Pelodiscus sinensis: one gene and its partner. The protein of the gene in region 1 interacts with the protein of each later gene in a biochemical or structural test. Links are inferred from orthologs where the notes say so. Each region holds a gene or a part of one and is shown on either strand. Other genes may lie near its edges.

Region 1 (10,094 bases):
AAGTGCAATGGGAAACAGTGACTAGCAGCACATAGGCTCCTCTGTTCCTACCTCCCAGTTGTCACCCTCACAAAAACTTACTGAACAGTTTGCTGCCCTAAGTGGATGCTTGTTTTCATCATACAGCAGAGGTTCTTAGATAAGCACGCATGGTGTTTTGTCAGTGAAAGCCATCTACCTTCACACAAGGTCAGAAGCTAGTATCATATCTTTCACAGGCATCACTGGCTAAATAATGCAACAACAAACTCCAATATACATTACAGCACTTCGCTCTCACCAGTCTTGATTTTCCAGCCATTGTGCCAGATACTGTCTGATTTCCATAGGAAAGCTGTCATCATACAGCTGATGTACTTGTTCCAAGAATTTGGAATCAAGCTGCTGCAACTGGTACCACTGAGTCATTCTGTGGAATCAAGATGCATAGAATTTAATAAAATCTTAGTCACATCTAAATCTTAGTCACACCTAAATCCCAACATAAGATATTTAAGAAGTAAGCTGAAAATTTCCCATCTAATCACTTTTGATAGAAAATGATTATTTAAAAAAACTAAATTTTGGGGAGAGGGAACTATTTGCATAGAAAATCTTCAGGTTTTTGTCAAAAAAGAGAGAAATGTTTGGTTCTCAAGTTTCCTGAAATTCCCAAAAATGTCAAGAAAATTGGCAATGTAACTAACAATGGGAATAACCATCCTTTCCCAGTCATCTCTGATTAAGGGCTTGATGCAAAGTAGAATGTGTGTTAGCAGCCCTAATGAGTTTTGCTAAATTGAATAGTAGCCTACCTTGGCCATGAAGACAAGTCCTAAAATAAAGAAACAGAAAGTGAAGACCTACACTGTTGGAGAGCAGACAGTAGGGGGAGATTATTTTAAATTGCATTTGGATTGCTCAGATGCTGGCTAATATTTTCAAAGGCACATATGTCCATTTTCAGAAATGTCCAAATCTGAAAAGGACTGAGGTGTCTTGGTAGATAACTAACCAAATATGACCTTGCAGGGCAATGCATTGCAGCAAATGTGACCCTGTGATGTACAAGGGGCATCTTGAAAAGCAGTACGTAAGTGGTACTGCCTCTGCCCAGGAAATCAGTGAAACTATTGCAGAACTGTGTCCAGTTTCTATGTCCAGAATTTTTAAAAAGTTAAATTGAAAAAGGTTCAGAAAGAGCTGTAAGAATGATCTGAGATCTGGAAAGCCTGTGTCTGTCAGAAACTAAAGAAGCTCAATCTGTTTATCTTATCCAAGATCACCTCTGTAAGTACAGGTTGAACTTCTCTGGTCCAGAATTCACAGCCCCGCTGGGCGTTGGCAGCATAGCGCAGCCCATCTGGGAACTGGCAGCACATTGCAGCACAGTAAGCAGCTAGCCTGAGTGCCCCTGGTCAGGCAAACTCCCTTGCCTGGGACCATGCAAGTCCCGAGTATGCTGGACCAGGGAGGTCCAACCTATATCTATGTGGGGGAGAGATTTCTCATATTAGAAGGCTCTTCAATTTAGCAAAGACATAACTGGGTCAGGAAGCTGAAGCAAGACAAATTCAGGCTAGAAATAAGGTTTTTAACATTGAGAGCAAACTGAGCAAATTTTTAGCATTGAGAACAGTTAATCACTAGAAGACGTTACCTACAGATGTAGCGGATCCATAATTTAGTCTTTCAAAGAGAAGTCTGGGGGATACGTCAACACAACTAAAATTTGAAGAAAACTGAATTTTTGTTTTAAGTTTTACAGCACTTTATTATTTTTGTACTTTTTACACCCAAAAATGTAATCGCCCTCTTGGCTACGATTAACTCGTTTAAATAAATGTGTTCCAATGGTAGAAAAAAAATTTGTATGTCTGAAAACTAGGTACTGGGGATTTTTTTTTTTTTTTTTTTTTTTTAAAGGGGTACTTTATAAAAATGGTTAAGAAACACTGCTCTAGCTCAGTGATTCTTAATAGAATCACAGAACTGAAAGAGACTTTGAGAGGTCTTCTAATCTAGCCTGCACAGCAGGACTAAATATTTAAGTTTTCCCTGACAGATGTTTGTTTAACATGCTTTGTGTAATAACAGTAAAAGCACCCTGACCAGCCTAAATTAATTCTGTGTTTTAATATGTACTGGGAAAAAAAAAACACAGGAAAGACACTGCTGTACTTCAACCAGAAATTATGGAGGTCATGGCAAGAATTACTTAGCAAAACTCTGAAGTTTATACTGCAAGATCAGATGATTACAATGGTCCCGTCTGACTTGGATTTTAAAGTTACTTATTAGTTTCCTAAGTCCCTCTGAAAGTGATTTCTCTAAGGGCACATCTACACTGGGAAGTTATTTTGAAATAACTCCTGAAATAACTATTTCAAAACAGCACTATTCCACTTCACAAGTGGAAGTTATTATTTCAAAATAATAACTTCCACTTATTTTGAAATAAGGGGCTTGGTAACGTGGATGCTCGTCTTTTTATTTAAAAATACGGAGAGCTATTTCGAAATAATTCCCTAGTGGGCTACGTCTACATTGCCGGCTTTGTGGGCAGTGCCTATGCAAATGAAGCACAGATTAGCATTTTGCCACACTTCATTTGCATAATGTATTCAAACTGGTTTTGCACAAGAGGTTTTTGCGCAAAAACAATAAGTGTGGATGGAATTTTTTTGTGCAAAACCCCCATTTTGCACAATATCCTTATGCCTTGCACCCACTGGGGTAGGTAAGAATGCCTCACATAAGGACCTTGTGCAAAACGGGTTTTGCGCAAAAGAAGAGTCCACACTGCTTGTTTTTAAGCAAAAACCTTGTGTAAAAATGGCTTGAATAAATGATGCAAACGAAGCATGGCAAAATGCTAATCCACGCTTCATTTGCATAGGCTTTGCAGGCAGTGTAGACAAAGCCGAGATGTAAGCGACTAGTCGAATAGTTGACTACCTGATAAGCCTGGGCTTCTCGGGTAGTTGAGTCACTAGTTTACTAGTTGCTTCTCCCCCCCTTGTTACTTCTATCAGAGGCAGCGGGGAAGAAGGGAGCAGGAGCTGAGGAGAGCAGGCTTAAAAGCCATCGTCTACTTGATTAGCTCATTAAACGCAATTTAACATCCTTAGTGCAGACATGCCTTAACTCTGCACGTTCACTTTGAAAAGATGTGCACGTATCTTACATCTTTCCATTACATTTTTCATGCTGCCTTCTTAATCCTATGTTCCTTCATCATTCTGTCCTAAAATACCGTGACCAACTTGTACCTCTCTGTGTGTATTTATTTAGGAAAGAGTTACAATAGGAATGAACCTTGAGTCTCAGAGGAATCAGGTGCTGCAGTTTCGTAATCCTATATATCTAGGGAATTCAATTAAAGAGGTGGGAAGGTCAAGTCCTATAAAGCAGTGTCTTTTTGGGGGGGGTTGTTCTGTGCTTCCCTCTGAGGCAGTCAGCATAGTTCCTGTAGGATCTGTGATGCCATTTACACGTCACTTTCCATGTCTAAAATCTCCCTACCTATTTTTAGAAACACGAGCTAAGACATCAGCACTCACTGGGGTAGGCAAGGATGCCATACAGGTCAGCTCTTGTGTGGCTCCTGCTCCCAACACCTGGCTGGGCAAGGGGGTGACTCTGCATTTCTATGTCCTAGGATCAGGGTTTTTCCACTGACTGGAGGAGGGGTTTGGGTCTTAGGACCACTGGCTCGGTGACTGTGAATCCAGCCACGTGGAATCTTTGCGAAGCCAGTGCAGCGAGGCTGTAGTTACAGGAGCGCAGCAGCCAGCAGCCATCACCAGGACTTGGCCAGAGCCTGCCTATTCGTGGGGTGTCTGTGGGGAATTAGAAGCGTGTCAATGGCAACAAGGGAACAACATTTCCAGCTGATGCGTCAACTTCCCAGCGGGAGTGTGTCCCGCTGGGACCGGCGAGCTCAGAGGTGGGGGGAAGGGGGGCTCATCCGGCTTCACTCAGCTGCTGCTGCCCCGCTCGCTGGGGCTCACGCCGCCTCACCGCTACCGCGTGGCCCGTGGCTGTGCGGGAGGCGGGCCCCGGCGGAAGGAAGGGCCCGGGGCAGCGCTGCCCGGCGCTCAGGGCCCCAGCAGGGCGGGGACGCGGCGCCGGGTCACTCACCCGACTGGCGAGAGGAGGCTCCGGGCCGCCGTCACCGCTTCGCTGCTGCGCCGCCGCCGGCAAACCGAAAGCGAGCGAGGACACGGCAACAGAACGCCCGTTGCGCGGCCAGCCCCCGGGCCAATCCCGAGCCGCGGGGCGGGCCTGCCGCAGCCACAGCCAATCCGCGCTGCGGCACCGGCTGTTCCTGAAAGCGCGCTACCCTCCCGCTGCTCTGCGCTGCCTCCCAGAGCCCCCCCCACAGAGTCCCAACCACAGCCCTCCCCCCTCCCCCAGCCCCCCACAGCCCTCCCCCCCTCAGACACCCCGCACCACAGCCCTCTCCCCTCAGACACCCCGCACCACAGCCCTCCCCCCCTCCCCCAGCCCCCTGACCCCACAGCCCTCCCCCCTTCCCCCAGCCCCCCACAGCCCTCCCCCCTCCCTCAGACACCCCGCACCACAGCCCTCCCCCCCTCCCCCAGCCCCCTGACCCCACAGCCCTCCCCCCTTCCCCCAGCCCCCCACAGCCCTCCCCCCTCCCTCAGACACCCCGCACCACAGCCCTCCCCCCCTCCCCCAGCCCCCTGACCCCACAGCCCTCCCCCCTTCCCCCAGCCCCCCACAGCCCTCCCCCCTCCCTCAGACACCCCGCACCACAGCCCTCCCCCCCTCCCCCAGCCCCCTGACCCCACAGCCCTCCCCCCTTCCCCCAGCCCCCCACAGCCCTCCCCCCTCCCTCAGACACCCCGCACCACAGCCCTCCCCCCCTCCCCCAGCCCCCTGACCCCACAGCCCTCCCCCCTTCCCCCAGCCCCCCACAGCCCTCCCCCCTCCCTCAGACACCCCGCACCACAGCCCTCCCCCCCTCCCCCAGCCCCCTGACCCCACAGCCCTCCCCCCTTCCCCCAGCCCCCCACAGCCCTCCCCCCCTCCCCCAGCCCCCTGACCCCACAGCCCTCCCCCCCTCCCCCAGCCCCCTGACCCCACAGCCCTCCCCCCTCCCCCAGACACCCCGCACCACAGCCCTCCCCCCTCCCCCAGACACCCCGCACCACAGCCCTCCCCCCCTCCCCCAGCCCCCTGACCCCACAGCCCTCCCCCCTTCCCCCAGCCCCCCACAGCCCTCCCCCCCTCCCCCAGCCCCCTGACCCCACAGCCCTCCCCCCTCCCCCAGACACCCCGCACCACAGCCCTCCCCCCTCACCCCACAGCCCTCCCCCCTCCCCCAGACACCCCGCACCACAGCCCTCCCCCCTCACCCCACAGCCCTCCCCCCTCCCCCAGACACCCCGCACCACAGCCCTCCCCCCTCACCCCACAGCCCTCCCCCCTCCCCCAGACACCCCGCACCACAGCCCTCCCCCCTCACCCCACAGCCCTCCCCCCTCCCCCAGACACCCCGCACCACAGCCCTCCCCCCTCACCCCACAGCCCTCCCCCCTCCCCCAGACACCCCGCACCACAGCCCTCCCCCCCGACACCCCGCACCACAGCCCTCCCCCTCCCCCAGACACCCCGCACCACAGCCCTCCCCCCTCACCCCACAGCCCTCCCCCCTCCCCCAGACACCCCGCACCACAGCCCTCCCCCCTCACCCCACAGCCCTCCCCCCTCCCCCAGACACCCCGCACCACAGCCCTCCCCCCTCACCCCACAGCCCTCCCCCCTCCCCCAGACACCCCGCACCACAGCCCTCCCCCCTCACCCCACAGCCCTCCCCCCTCCCCCAGACACCCCGCACCACAGCCCTCCCCCCTCACCCCACAGCCCTCCCCCCTCCCCCAGACACCCCGCACCACAGCCCTCCCCCCTCACCCCACAGCCCTCCCCCCTCCCCCAGACACCCCGCACCACAGCCCTCTCCCCTCACCCCACAGCCCTCCCCCCTCCCCCAGACACCCCGCACCACAGCCCTCCCCCCTCACCCCACAGCCCTCCCCCCTCCCCCAGACACCCCGCACCACAGCCCTCCCCCCCTCACCCCACAGCCCTCCCCCCCCAGACACCCCGCACCACAGCCCTCCCCCCTCACCCCACAGCCCTCCCCCAGCCTCCCACAGCCCTCCCCCCCTCACCCCACAGCCCTCCCCCCTCCCCCAGACACCCCGCACCACAGCCCTCCCCCCTCACCCCACAGCCCTCCCCCCTCCCCCAGACACCCCGCACCACAGCCCTCCCCCCCTCACCCCACAGCCCTCCCCCCCCAGACACCCCGCACCACAGCCCTCACCCCTCACCCCACAGCCCTCCCCCCTCCCCCAGCCCCCCACAGCTCTCCCCCCTCCCTCAGACACCCCGCACCACAGAGTCCCAACCACAGCCCTCCCCCCTCCCCCAGACACCCCGCACCACAGCCCTCCCCCCTCACCCCACAGCCCTCCCCCCCGACACCCCGCACCACAGCCCTCCCCCCCCAGACACCCCGCACCACAGCCCTCCCCCCCTCACCCCACAGCCCTCCCCCAGCCTCCCACAGCCCTCCCCCCCTCACCCCACAGCCCTCCCCCCTCCCCCAGCCCCCCACAGCCCTCCCCCCTCCCACAGCCCTCCTCCCAGACACCCCGCACCACAGCCCTCCCCCCTCCCCCAGACTCCCCGCACCACAGCCCTCACCCCCTCCCCCAGCCCCCCACAGCCCTCCCCCCTCCCTCAGACACCCCGCACCACAGCCCTCCCCCCTCCCTCAGACACCCCGCACCACAGCCCTCACCCCCTCCCCCAGCCCCCCACAGCCCTCCCCCTCCCTCAGACACCCCGCACCACAGCCCTCCCCCCTCCCTCAGACACCCCACACCACAGCCCTCACCCCCTCCCCCAGCCCCCCACAGCCCTCACCCCTCCTTCAGACACCCCTGTACCACAGCCCTCACCCCCTCCCCCAGCCCTCCACAGCCCTCCCCTCTCCCTCAGACACCCCGCACCACAGCCCTCCCCCTCCCTCAGACACCCCGCACCACAGCCCTCACCCTCCCTCAGACACCCCGCACCACAGCCCTCCCCCCTCACCCCACAGCCCTCCCCCCTCCCCCAGACACCCCGCACCACAGCCCTCCCCCCTCACCCCACAGCCCTCCCCCCTCCCCCAGACACCCCGCACCACAGCCCTCCCCCCTCACCCCACAGCCCTCCCCCCTCCCCCAGACACCCCGCACCACAGCCCTCCCCCCCTCACCCCACAGCCCTCCCCCCCCAGACACCCCGCACCACAGCCCTCCCCCCTCACCCCACAGCCCTCCCCCAGCCTCCCACAGCCCTCCCCCCCTCACCCCACAGCCCTCCCCCCTCCCCCAGCCCCCCACAGCTCTCCCCCCTCCCTCAGACACCCCGCACCACAGAGTCCCAACCACAGCCCTCCCCCCTCCCCCAGACACCCCGCACCACAGCCCTCCCCCCCTCACCCCACAGCCCTCCCCCCCGACACCCCGCACCACAGCCCTCCCCCCCCAGACACCCCGCACCACAGCCCTCCCCCCCTCACCCCACAGCCCTCCCCCAGCCTCCCACAGCCCTCCCCCCCTCACCCCACAGCCCTCCCCCCTCCCCCAGCCTCCCACAGCCCTCCTCCCAGACACCCCGCACCACAGCCCTCCCCCCTCCCCCAGACTCCCCGCACCACAGCCCTCACCCCCTCCCCCAGCCCCCCACAGCCCTCCCCCCTCCCTCAGACACCCCGCACCACAGCCCTCCCCCCTCCCTCAGACACCCCGCACCACAGCCCTCACCCCCTCCCCCAGCCCCCCACAGCCCTCCCCCTCCCTCAGACACCCCGCACCACAGCCCTCCCCCCTCCCTCAGACACCCCACACCACAGCCCTCACCCCCTCCCCCAGCCCCCCACAGCCCTCACCCCTCCTTCAGACACCCCTGTACCACAGCCCTCACCCCCTCCCCCAGCCCTCCACAGCCCTCCCCTCTCCCTCAGACACCCCGCACCACAGCCCTCCCCCCTCCCTCAGACACCCCGCACCACAGCCCTCACCCCCTCCCCCAGCCCCCCACAGCCCTCACCCCTCCTTCAGACACCCCTGTACCACAGCCCTCACCCCCTCCCCCAGCCCTCCACAGCCCTCCCCTCTCCCTCAGACACCCCGCACCACAGCCCTCCCCCTCCCTCAGACACCCCGCACCACAGCCCTCCCCCCCTCACCCCACAGCCCTCCCCCCCCAGACACCCCGCACCACAGCCCTCCCCCCCTCACCCCACAGCCCTCCCCCAGCCTCCCACAGCCCTCCCCCCCCGACACCCCGCACCACAGCCCTCCCCCCCTCACCCCACAGCCCTCCCCCCTCCCCCAGCCCCCCACAGCTCTCCCCCCTCCCTCAGACACCCCGCACCACAGAGTCCCAACCACAGCCCTCCCCCCTCCCCCAGCCCCCCACAGCCCTCCCCCCTCCCACAGCCCTCCTCCCAGACACCCCGCACCACAGCCCTCCCCCCTCCCCCAGACACCCCGCACCACAGCCCTCCCCCCTCCCCCAGACACCCCGCACCACAGCCCTCACCCCCTCCCCTAGCCCCCCACAGCCCTCCCCCCTCCCTCAGACACCCCGCACCACAGCCCTCCCCCCTCCCTCAGACACCCCGCACCACAGCCCTCACCCCCTCCCCCAGCCCCCCACAGCCCTCCCCCTCCCTCAGACACCCCGCACCACAGCCCTCCCCCCTCCCTCAGACACCCCACACCACAGCCCTCACCCCCTCCCCCAGCCCCCCACAGCCCTCACCCCTCCTTCAGACACCCCTGCACCACAGCCCTCACCCCCTCCCCCAGCCCCCCACAGCCCTCCCCTCTCCCTCAGACACCCCGCACCACAGCCCTCCCCCTCCCTCAGACACCCCGCACCACAGCCCTCACCCCCTCCCCCAGCCCCCCACAGCCCTCCCCCCTCCCTCAGACACCCCGCACCACAGCCCTCCCCCTCCCTCAGACACCCCTGCACCACAGCCCTCACCCCCTCCCCCAGCCCCCCACAGCCCTCCCCCCTCCCTCAGACACCCCGCACCACAGCCCTCACCCCTCCCTCAGACACCCCTGCACCACAGCCCTCACCCCCTCCCCCAGCCCCCCACAGCCCTCCCCCCTCCCTCAGACACCTCGCACCACAGCCCTCACCCCTTCACCCCACAGCCCTCACCCCTCCCTCAGACAACCCGCACCACAGCCCTCCCCCCCTCCCCTAGCCCCCCACAGCCCTCCCCCCTCCCTCAGACACCCCTGCACCACAGCCCTCCCCCCCTCACCCCACAGCCCTCCCCCCATCCCTCAGACACCCCTGCACCACAGCCCTCACCCCTTCACCCCACAGCCCTCATCCCCTCCCAGAGCTCCCTCACCCCACAGCCCTCACCCCCCTCCCTCAGACACCCCGCACCACAGCCCTCCCCCAGCCCCCCACAGCCCTCCCCCCTCCCTCAGACACCCCGCACCACAGCCCTCACCCCTTCACCCCACAGCCCTCACCCCTCCCTCAGACACCCCTGCACCACAGCCCTCCCCCTTTCCCCCAGCCCCCCACAGCCCTCACCCCCATCCCTCAGACACCCCTGCACCACAGCCCTCACCCCCTCACCCCACAGCCCTCACCCCTATCCCTCAGACACCCCTGCACCACAGCCCTCACCCCTTCACCCCACAGCCCTCACCCCTTCCCCCAGCCCCCCACAACTCCCCTCACCCCCTCCCTCAGACACCCCTGCACCACAGCCCTCACCCCACAGCCCTCACCCCCTCCCAGAGCCCCCTCACCCCACAGCCCTCACCCCCTCCCCCAGCCCCCCAGAACCCCTCTCACCACAGAGTCCCAACCACAGCCCTCATCCGCATCCCTCAGACACCCCTGCACCACAGCCCTCACCCCCTCACCCCACAGCCCTCACCCCTATCCCTCGGACACCCCTGCACCACAGCCCTCACCCCTTCACCCCACAGCCCTCACCCCTTCCCCAGCCCTCCACAACCCCCCTCACCCCCTCCCTCAGACACCCCTGC
Region 2 (10,811 bases), on another chromosome or scaffold:
TAAATACGTTCCAATGATGGCCACAAAAGTGCCAGGCCAACACCTGTTGTCACTTTCAGGTGACACTGCAAACAAGAAGCAGGCAGCATTACCTCTCCTGCAAATTGTAACCAAACTTGTTTGTCTGAGCAATTGGACTTGTAGGCACATTGTTAAATAACTGCATACAAAAACAAAACAATCTATCTATCTAAGTCACACTTAGATGAGAAAGAGACTGCGCTACAGTACTTGTATGAAGTAAATTGAAAAATACAATTTCTTTTGATTATCATTTTTACAGTGCAGATATTTGTAATAAAAATTATATAAAGTGACAACTGTACTGTGCTTTAATATAAACCAATGCATTTGAAAATATAGAAAACAGCCAAAATATTTAATACCTTTCGATTGATATTCTACTGTTTAACAGTGCAATTAATCACAATTACCTTTTAAGTGTGATTAAATTTTTGAGTTAATCATGTGAGTTAACTGCAATTTATCAACAGACCTACTTTGAACATATGATTCGAGGTAAGAAGAAGAAACAGAAAAAGAAGATAATGTTCTGAAGTTAGTGTGTTGCCATCTGCAGTGTTTAACTCTGTCCCAAAGTTTGTAGACTTTCCATTGTGGCTTCGGGTAACTGATAATGTATCAGGCAGAACATTAGATACTAGTTCATTATACATTTTTGTAACAGATATTTTCAGGAACTACTCTAAACAGGAAATGCTGAACATATTTTTTAATTACTGAAGTAGCTGATGGGCAGTTAAGGAACATTTCATGAAAACTACAATGTTGCTGCTGTCACTTTAAAACTCAGTGGCATTGTTTTCTTTGGTTGTTTCTTTTGATGCTGCATACAACAGACCTTACATATGAATGCATTCACTAGTAGGTTAGCATGCAGAGTGAGAGAAGCAGTTGGGTTATGCCTTCCTTGCAAATGGAGGTGTGATTTGCATTAATTGTCATGAAGGCATATCCACAGTAGCTTTAATCTAGTCAACTCACTAAAATAGCAGCGAAGATGCAGCAGCGCAGCCTTCAGTGAGGACTAGCAACCTGAATACGTAGCTGCGGGGAGATTGTGCAGACTTGAAAGGCCCATGCCTGCACTGCTATCTTAGCAGGTTAGCTAGACTAAAGCAAGCATGTGCATGCCCACAAACTGGAAATCTCACCCCTGGCTGCAGTGTAGACATGCCCTAAATGTGCACAGGGGGCCAAGAATCTACTAAATTTCAAAACAAATTGAACATTTATCTGAATAACTAGAATATCCAGAGTTATGAAAATTAAATGTTAACAGTGTTTCGTTAGAGACAGGGATGTTAAATATCGGTTAATTGAATAGTTGAGTAACCTCATCAATTCGTATTGGTTTCTCGACTATTCTATAGTCACCAGGCTTAGAGCCAGCAGCCAGCTGTGCCCCACTCCCGAGGCAGAGGCAGCAGCGCAGGGTGTCAGGTGGGAGCTGCTCTGCGAAAGGAGCCGGTTTAAAAAACAGCTTCCCTCGCAGACTAGTTGCATGTCGCCTTGTGCTGCTGCCTCAGAAGCAGCAGAGTGGGGTGGTAGCAGCCCCTGTCCATGGGAGGCACTGAGCTCCTGGACCTGGCGCGAGCCAGAACTGAGCTGGGTTACCTGCCCGTCTGGCTGTTAATGCACTTTAAATGTAGAGCCGCAGCAGGGGTAGATCCTGGACCTGGTGCATGGAAGAAATGAGCCAGCCTGCGAAAAAATGTAGTGATGGGGGAGGAGGCAGAATGCGTGTATTCTATAGCATTAATTTATACACTTTTGCTTATTTGTTAATTGACTACACCAGTGTTTCCCAAATAGTGCTCTGCAGAACCCTGTGGTTCCACAAAGTGAAAGTAAGGGTTCCGTGAGAACCCGATCACTTCCTCCCTCCTGCCCCCCACCCCACCGAGAGAGTCTTAGGAGTGGGCGAGCCAGGCGGTCTCCCGGGTCTGCCACTTTCAAGGGGCCGCCAGGCACAGTGGTGTTAGGGGAAAGCCGGTGTTTTGGTTCTTTTTTTGCTTGACAGTCGCCCCACCCCCTTTTTTTTGGTCAACCAGTTTTTCCTGGCCGTTTCTTTTAAAAGAGGGTTCCGTGGCCAAATAAAATTGGGAAACACCGGACTACACTATTACATCCCTACTTTAAACCTCATGTTTCAGATTAAACCAAACTCTTAGTTATTTGAGATTAACAAAGTGAGACAACATGGGTTGCAGATAATCTCCCCTCTGTCTTCAGTGGGATTCTTATAATTTCCCCAGGTACTGCCCACTATCAACTGAGAGTATATTAGACTAGATGAAGTTTGGGGCCTTGAAGTTCCTAGGTGCAAACCAATATTACTTTCTTTGGGCTAGCTAGGTAATTTAGGAGAGACGCTTCACAACCTGTAAATTCAGCTATGAATACAAAATGCTATATTTCAAGAATGGTAATGGCTCAAACTCCAATATAGTATTCTCATTGGGGAATCCTGACATTTCCTGAACTCACACATATAGTAGTGATTATGTGTGTACACATATAGCATGTATATCAAAAGGGGAGATCAAACAGGTACATTCCTTAAAGTTTACTCTGTTTTCTAACTGCTTTTAAAAGATCCATTTTTGATCACATGGTGAGGAATTTTATAGCTGGACATGCTGAGCACTTACACTTCCAATTCGAATGTGCTGCATATCCAATAGTGTTTCTTGAGAAACAAAAACTGATTATATGTGTTTCTGGGCTGAAAAGATTAACTGTACCCTACTGAAGATTTACGTGCAAGTGTGACCATATCCTCTTGGCTGATGTGAAAGGATTTGAACCAACGACCTCAAAAGCTCACACCATGAGTTTGAATGAAAGGGCCAAGGCACTACAGTCAGACACTGTAATAACTCATATTCTCCATGGATCAAAACAAAGGGACCTGTGAAACCAACCAACCAACGCATGCATGCACACACACACAGTGGGTTACACATGTGCCAGATATTTGAATAAGGTCTGAAGACAAGAAGAATTACCTTGTATGTCATACAGTTACAATTTGCTTAGCTCATTAAAAACTCTGCTTTGCTCCCATTTGCTTATGGGTGGGTGAAGGTGTGAGTGTCTCATAATCAACAGAAACTAAGACTATTTTATAATCAAACTTGTAGCTGACCTATGGATAAATAGATGAGCTCATACAACTTGAGGAATGCTACTGAATAAAGTAAATTATGACTCCTCCCTGAACGCAAAGTTTCCCTGTCCAGGTTACCTATACTTCCTGGAGGTAATGAGCACTATTATTACAGTGAAACTGCAAGATATGCTAAGGACAAAGTCCACAACAAGAAGAAAAAGTCTCATTCAGGAAATGAGGCATCATACACACAGGGATACAACTACTACCAGGGAGGAGAGTCAGCCTCCTTACCTCTTAGTGCCTGGTACCTGAAACAAAAACATCACTGAAAGTCCCTAAGGAACTAAAAGCTGCATGACTTACGGTCATCATTTGTTCCAAGGACCATTTGATTGGCATCAACTGTCATGCTGACTATACTTCAGCAACAATAATGACACATTTCAATAACAAATGGTCTGGTAGTAAGAGAGATGTAGCCGTGTTAGTCTGGTCTTGATGAATCAAAAAAAAAAAAAAAAAAAAAAAAGACTATGCGGCACTTTAAAGACTAACAAGATGGTTTATTAAGTGATGAGCTTTCGTGGGCCAGACCCACTTCCTCAGATCAAAATGTGGAAGAAAATTGGCACAACCATATATACCAAAGGGATACAATCAAAAAAGTGAACACATATAAAACTGACAAATCGGATTTTAGAACAGAGGTGAGGTGAGGGGGGGAGGTCAGTGTCTATGAGATAACGATATTAGGGGGTGATAATTGGGGAAGCTATCTTTGTCTGGTAGCACTTTATAGACTGACAAAACATGTAGATGGCATCATGAGCTTTTGTGGGCACAGCCCATTTATTCAGATGACCGGAGGTTTGAGTTTAGGATGTTCAGACCCAAAATAAATAGGAAAGGAGGAGGTGGGGGGGGGGGGGGGGACAGAGGGGAGGAGAGACAAGGAGCTAGAGGGAATAAGTATCTGAAGATTGGGTAGTTAAAACGAAGCAGATAAGAATCAAAGTCAATTGATAGCATCCTTCCTGACATAGGCGTCTACACACTTGTTTAAGTTTTTCCTGTTTCAATGTTTACTGACCTGACCCATAACTATTCTGTCAACGATTTCATAAATATCGCTTGCTGATTTACAAACTTTCCCACTCAAAAGTTCAGCACGTCCCCAGCGAAGGCTCCAGACAACAGGGTCAGAGGCAAGTTCAGCCAGGCAGAAAAAGAGGCTCCGCAATCAGCAAACGAAAGTGCCGAGCCAACTTGGCAGAAATCAAGAAAACTCGCGGGTCTCGCTCCTCGGGTCGCGGAGCCTCCCCCTGCCCAGAGTCACGGCGCAAAATATGGAGGCGGGCAGAACAAGGAAGCCGAGGGGAGCCCTCTCTCCGGCAAAGGATGCCAGAGGCAACCTCGGCTCACCCCAGGGGGCGGGCTCGGCTCGCGGGACAGGCAGGGCTCCCCTCGCGGCTCACACGCCGGCGCCCAGCCCAGACACCCCGCCGCCCTGGCAGGGGGAGTGAAGCGGCCGCTGGAGAGGGCGCCCAGGCGCAGGCAGCCCGAGCGCAGCGCACCCCGGCCAGGGGCCCCCAGCTCGCCCCGGGACTCCAGCGCCGGGCGGGGGCGGCAGCGCCGGTGCCGCTTCCTCCTTCGGCCGGCGGGCGGGGCAGGAACTGGGCGCGTCGCGGGGATCCCCAGCCCGGCCGCCGCAGGTACCCGCCCGGCGCGCCCCCCGCGGAGCCGCCACTCACCTCTCCCGGGCGCCGAGCCCCGCACACGGCGCGGAGCTGCCGCAGCTCCCAGGCCGAGCGCTCCCCGAGCGAGTCCCAGCCCGGCCCGCCTGCCCGCCCCGCCCCGCGCTCCGCCCCCGGCAGCCACCGAGCCCTGCGCCCCGCCTGGCGCTCACCTGCCCGCCGGCTCCGGAGCCCCTGTGCCGGCAGAGCGCGGGACAGAGCCGCCCTGCGGGCCGCTCGCTCCTTCGCCCGGGTCGCCTCCCTTCTCTCCTCCCTCCGTCCTGCCCTGCCGCCTCCCTCCCCCTCCTCCGTCCTGCCGCCTCCCTCCGTCCTGCCCCTTCTCTCCCTCCCCCCCCCGCCTGCCGCCTCCTCCGTCCTGCCCCTTCTCTCCTCCCTCCCTCCCCCGCCTGCCGCCTCCCTCCCCCCGCTCCCCTCCTCCGTCCTGCCCCTTCTCTCCCTCCCCCCCCCCCCGCCTGCCGCCTCCCTCCGTCCTGCCCCTTCTCTCCCTCCCCCCCCCGCCTGCCGCCTCCCTCCGTCCTGCCCCTTCTCTCCCTCCCCCCCCCCGCCTGCCGCCTCCCTCCGTCCTGCCCCTTCTCTCCCTCCCCCCCCGCCTGCCGCCTCCCTCCCCCCCGCCTGCCGCCTCCCTCCGTCGTGCCCCTTCTCTCCCTCCCCCCCCGCCTGCCGCCTCCCTCCCCCCCGCCTGCCGCCTCCCTCCGTCCTGCCCCTTCTCTCCCTCCCTCCCCCGCCTGCCGCCTCCCTCCATCCTGCCCCTGCTCCCCCTCCCTCCCCCTGCTCCCCTCCTCCGTCCTGCCCCTTCTCCCCCTCCCTCCCCCTGCTCGCCTCCTCCGTCCCGCCCCTTCTCCCCCTCCCTCCCCCTGCTCGCCTCCTCCGTCCCGCCCCTGCTCCCCCTCCCTCCCCCTGCTCGCCTCCTCCGTCCCGCCCCTGCTCCCCTTCCCTCCCCTCCTCCCTCTGCTCCCCTCCTCCGTCCTGCCCCTTCTCTCCCTCCCTCCTCCGCCTGCCGCCTCCCTCCCCCTGCTCCCCTCCTCCGTCCCGCCCCTTCTCCCCCTCCCTCCCCCTGCTCGCCTCCTCCGTCCCGCCCCTGCTCCCCCTCCCTCCCCCCCCCTCCGCTCCCCTCCTCCGTCCTGCCCCTTCTCTCCCTCCCTCCTCCGCCTGCCGCCTCCCTCCCCCTGCTCCCCTCCTCCGTCCTGCCCCTTCTCCCCCTCCCTCCCTCCCTCCCTCCCCCTGCTCCCCTCCTCCGTCCTGCCCCTTCTCTCCCTCCCTCCTCCGCCTGCCGCCTCCCTCCCCCTGCTCCCCTCCTCCGTCCTGCCCCTTCTCCCCCTCCCTCCCCCCCTCCCTCCCCCTGCTCCCCTCCTCCGTCCTGCCCCTTCTCTCCCTCCCTCCCCATCCTGCCCCTTCTCTCCCTCCCTCCTCCGCCTGCCGCCTCCCTCCCCCTGCTCCCCTCCTCCGTCCTGCCCCTTCTCTCCCTCCCTCCTCCGCCTGCCACCTCCCTCCCCCTGCTCCCCTCCTCCGTCCTGCCCCTTCTCTCCCTCCCTCCCCCGCCTGCTCCCTCCCTCCCCATCCTGCCCCTTCTCTCCCTCCCCCCCCTGCTCCCCTCCTCTGTCCTGCCCCTTCTCTCCCTCCCTCCCGCCTGCCGTCTCCCTCCGTCCTGCCCCTTGCTTCCCTCCCCCTACCCTCCTTCTCCATCCTTCCCCTTCTCTCCTGCACCTCTCTGCCTCCCCTGTCCTGCCTCTTCTCTCCCTCCCAGCGCCTACCCCTTCTGCTGCTCTGTCCTCCCTTCTCTCCTCCTCCCTACTCCTTCCCCCATGCTCCTTCTCCCTCTTTTGCTCGTCTCTCTTCCTTTGCCTTCCCTCCTCCCCTTCCTCTCCACTGTTGCCTTCCCCTTCTCTTTTACTCGCCTACCTCATGTTTGCCTTCTTCTGTGACCAGGTGGCTGGATCCAGGAGTTCAATTCCAGGTCGGCATCAAAGGCAAAGGCTCCAGTATGGGACAAGCAAACTCATCCAGTCTTAGTGTATGCAGCAACTCTTTGGGAGCTTACTTTATCTGGACAGGTGGTTTTAATGTTCGCTCTAGTTATTTAATAACTCTGGCTCCATTATGGGGTTTTGGCAGCAAGGCCCCACCTCACTGTTTTTCTTGTTTGGGGCACTTATCCACCAGAAATTGGACAGAAGACTCCAAAATAATTTTAGGTGGCTTATGATGTTCAACCACTGGTGATGTACATTTGAATTCCTTCCATCTGTGCAAAAGTTTTTGTTGTGCTAAAGCTTGGGATATGTTCTTAATCCTCTGGGAAAGCTTGTCTAATGTTTACAGAGTTTTTTTAAAGGGGAAAAATAGGTTTTTTTAATGGCTTTTAACATGTAAGTTGTGTTATAAAAGGATGGTAAAAACTCAGCAGTAAACACTTTCCACATGTCTAACTTTATGCATGGGAGCAGTCATTGGGACTATTCATGTGCATGATGCTAAGCATGTGCATCAAATGTCTGCAGGATCAGGGAGTTGTGTTAACTCAGGACAGAAGCTGTGTCTTCCTGCCTGGTCTTACAATGCCCTCCTGAGGGCCTGGATTTAGGCCCCTGGATGGAGTTACCCAATGTCCCTCCCTTTATCCAGTTTTAAAATATAGGCTATGAAGATGATGAATCAGTCTGGGGTTGATCTTCCTTTACTGGAAAGCAGCATTTCCAATGATAATATTAGACCTTTATTTATAATTGTTAAAAAAAAACATAAAACGTATGCCCAGAACAATTGATAACAGAGAAATACAAGTCTCATCCTTGGTATGGAAGAGAGAAACATTTCTAACAGAGGATTCTTAGCGTAGGCTATAGAATTCCCTTGTTCTTATCTCTAGTTGTAAGTGATCTAAGTGCCACTACATGGGACAGTGAACCACGCTAGGTGTGTGGGTTACAGTACCGCATAGAATTCCAACGCAATTTATAAAGAATATATGATAGCAATTTATAGATATATTTTCTGTAAAGTAAAATTGTAAGGATTAAATGGAAAGTGAAAGTGAAAATAAATTCAGGAGCCATGATTCAAATCTGTCCAAATGAGGCTTTCCTGATGTCAGAACTTCCAAAGAGCTTAATCTAAATGGGTAACATTTTATAATGGATGTCATATAATTTCTTATTAATTTGGTGTTTAAAACAGTATAAAATATACAAGGAGAATCCATTTTGTTATATGGTGGCACAAAAACTTGATTGCTATCTCTGTTAGTGTCCATGACTTTAAAATAAGTCTCTCTAAAACAAACAGCTTCTTAAGCTTTGGACTATAAGATTTTCACAAGGGTTATAAGAGAAGAGATTTTCATGTCCCTGTGAATATAAATCTTCATGTCTTTACTCAGTCAGAGCTCTCTAAAGTCAATGGGAAGTTTGCCTACATTTGGTTCATAGAGAGTTCAGTGTAGACTCTTTCCTGCTTGATAAAGCAGAGTCTTGGCCTTAGCAACTTGATATTCCTTCCAGTCCAATCACCAATGTTTCTAAAACTCTAGTTTTGTTTTCAGCTGCCTTTTCCTAATGACTTTGGTTTGCTTCTCTCGCTTGAAACATGAGCAGCCCGACTGGTGAATCAGGATCCCATTGTCAGTGATGGGCAACCTAGGCTAGTGAGTGGGCCACCCTCCATCTCAATGGGCCGCAAGATTGTCATCACCATTGTCATCTGCTGGCCTAGAGTAAATTTGCAAACTGTGCCAGCATACCTAGAATTTGCAGGAGATATTGTTTGAACAGTAGCAGCGCTGTGATTGGATGCAGAGGGAGTGTTATGTGCAATCAGTATGCACCTTACTGCATGTACCCTTTCTTTACCTGTGTGTCACTTTAGTAATACACCCATAGGAAAAAAAACCTATGTGGATGGAAACCAGAGGAATCTGGCTGCCCTGTTTATGTAGGAAAGTCATCTTTGCAACAGCACTCTGAGTGAATGTGAGTAGAGCAAGACTGCACTTGCCAAAGCTAGTGAAAAGGATTTTAAAGTAATGAAGATGCAAAAGGATGAGAGGCTGGCTGGCTGGATGGATGGACGGGTGGGAGGGAAACACTCTGTTTTAGAAATGTGACGTAGAAAGAACCAGAAAGATTTAGACATAACCTGGATGTGGGGTCCGAAAGAGGTGTGAGTGGAAGTGGATGTTGAGGTTATGGAACTGAGAGACAGGTGATGTTGCCTACTGTCACTGAGAAAGGAGGTAACAGGACACGTTTGGGGACAGAACAAAATCTGTGTTTTAGCCATGTTGATTTGGGGCGACGGTAATATGTCTACAAAGTGATAACAGAGAGACAGGCCAAAATTTTAATTCAGACAGGAGATGGGCCTGGAGGAAACATAGACCCATAAATTGTTGAATTTGTGGTTATGAGATTACCCACAAGTCAGGTTAGAAAGGAGACCAAGAACAGAGTCCTGAGGAACTCCCACCAAAACCTGAAAGGCAGAAGAGGAGGATCCTCCAAAGCACATGTTGGAGGAGTGATGAAAGTGGTAGGAGGAGAACATGGAGAGGACAGAGTAGATAGTGTCTCATCTGGATAGATACCTAAGCACATCATTTTGCTAACCACAGATGGCTATTCAGCTATGGTGTGAAAGCCAGTAGCTATTGAACAGTGAGTCAGCAGTCAAGCACGCTGTATATAACTGAGAATACAGGGGGAAATCAGCAAGGTAAAATGGAAACATACAAGCAGAAATTTGGTCAAGACACTGGGGCTAAATAGTTTTGCTCTTGTGAAGTATATTGTGGGACTTTCCCACCTTAAGTGGTGACAATTGTGCTTTTATATTGCTTCTGTCAGACTGCACCATAGGTAGCACAATGCCCCTCCCCACCCTGCTGAGGTATTGATTTAATACTGAAAATATTTGGGTTTTCTTTAGAGATCTCACATCTAAAATACCTTGCCTGAGGCTGCTTCGTGTGTGAAATCTGACAGGGTCACAGTAGAAAGCGGTATGACTACAAGCCATTTTACAAGTAGATGAAAAGAAGTGAGCAATTAATTTAGCTACAGTGAAGTTGACAGCAAAAGATTCACAGTTGAGAAACCGAATAAAAAAAGAGTATCAATACCTAGCACTTTCCCAAGGGGTTGTGTGATTAACTTCCATGAGTTGTACTAATGCTGTACCTGTTTCACGGGAACAAGGCAGGAAGTCAAATTAAGGAAAGGTGTTTTACTGATACACGATGATACATAGACAAGCATCAATTCACAACAAAGAAATAAACAGCAGTTACAATTATACTTTTATTCACCAAGCCATGTTGCAGCTGGAGGTTGAGTGTCTGTTGATCTGTTTCCCAAGTCTAAGCAACACTTAGTCTCACTTCCCTTTTGCTCACAGAGACAGGGGAAGAGAGTGATAGAGGGAGGAGCCTGCTACAATCTAATATAAAAATTATGGGGATTTCCATTAATGAGAACAGCAAAGGTAGAGAGGCTGAATTCTGCCTGCACTAATTGGTTTCTATCTTGTCTTTCTATTTTGGAAATGTTCAGAATGTTGATTATGGTTTTAACAGCTGGCTTTAGAATGTTGGTGTCTTCCCTGGGAGCCGCCTCTTACGGCACACAAACTTTTCCTTCAGTTTCTCATATTTTTTACCTCCAGAAGCATGTTTTTTGGTTAGTAATGAGAGTTAGATACATAATGGGCAAGATTAATTTATTTAATAAAGTCTGCCTGCCTTATCCCTTTGAGAGACTGAAGGATGCTGAACTCGGCTTTAGGGGATCTTTCCATGGCAATATGATTTTTTTAATCGTTTTAATTTTGATATTGACTTATGAAGGTGTTTTTCTTTGTATTAGTCAGCATTTCATTCTCCGCACCTGTGACAGTTGTTTCTGTCTTTTGTAACCCTTCTGCCAGTT

What was found.
Region 2: of the proteins of STAT1 (region 1) and PRKCD, one has a biochemical effect on the other in vitro, tested with the Homo sapiens proteins (2 studies listed by BioGRID). The link is inferred for Pelodiscus sinensis from reciprocal best matches to the Homo sapiens genes STAT1 and PRKCD.

What each region holds. Positions count from the first base shown.
Region 1 is NC_134717.1:67,122,735-67,132,828, forward strand, and holds the start of STAT1 (signal transducer and activator of transcription 1-alpha/beta), read right to left. Parts: upstream 4,332-10,094; 5' UTR 4,123-4,331; intron 3,332-4,122; coding exon of another isoform or gene 3,292-3,331; intron 410-3,291; 5' UTR 409-409; coding exon 281-408; intron 1-280. Other genes in the region: uncharacterized protein LOC142830272, read left to right, coding at 3,292-3,331, 10,035-10,094. UniProt on the Homo sapiens protein: Signal transducer and transcription activator that mediates cellular responses to interferons (IFNs), cytokine KITLG/SCF and other cytokines and other growth factors.
Region 2 is NC_134721.1:40,004,772-40,015,582, forward strand, and holds the start of PRKCD (protein kinase C delta type), read right to left. Parts: upstream 5,197-10,811; 5' UTR 5,046-5,196; intron 5,022-5,045; exon of another isoform or gene 4,891-5,021; intron 1-4,890.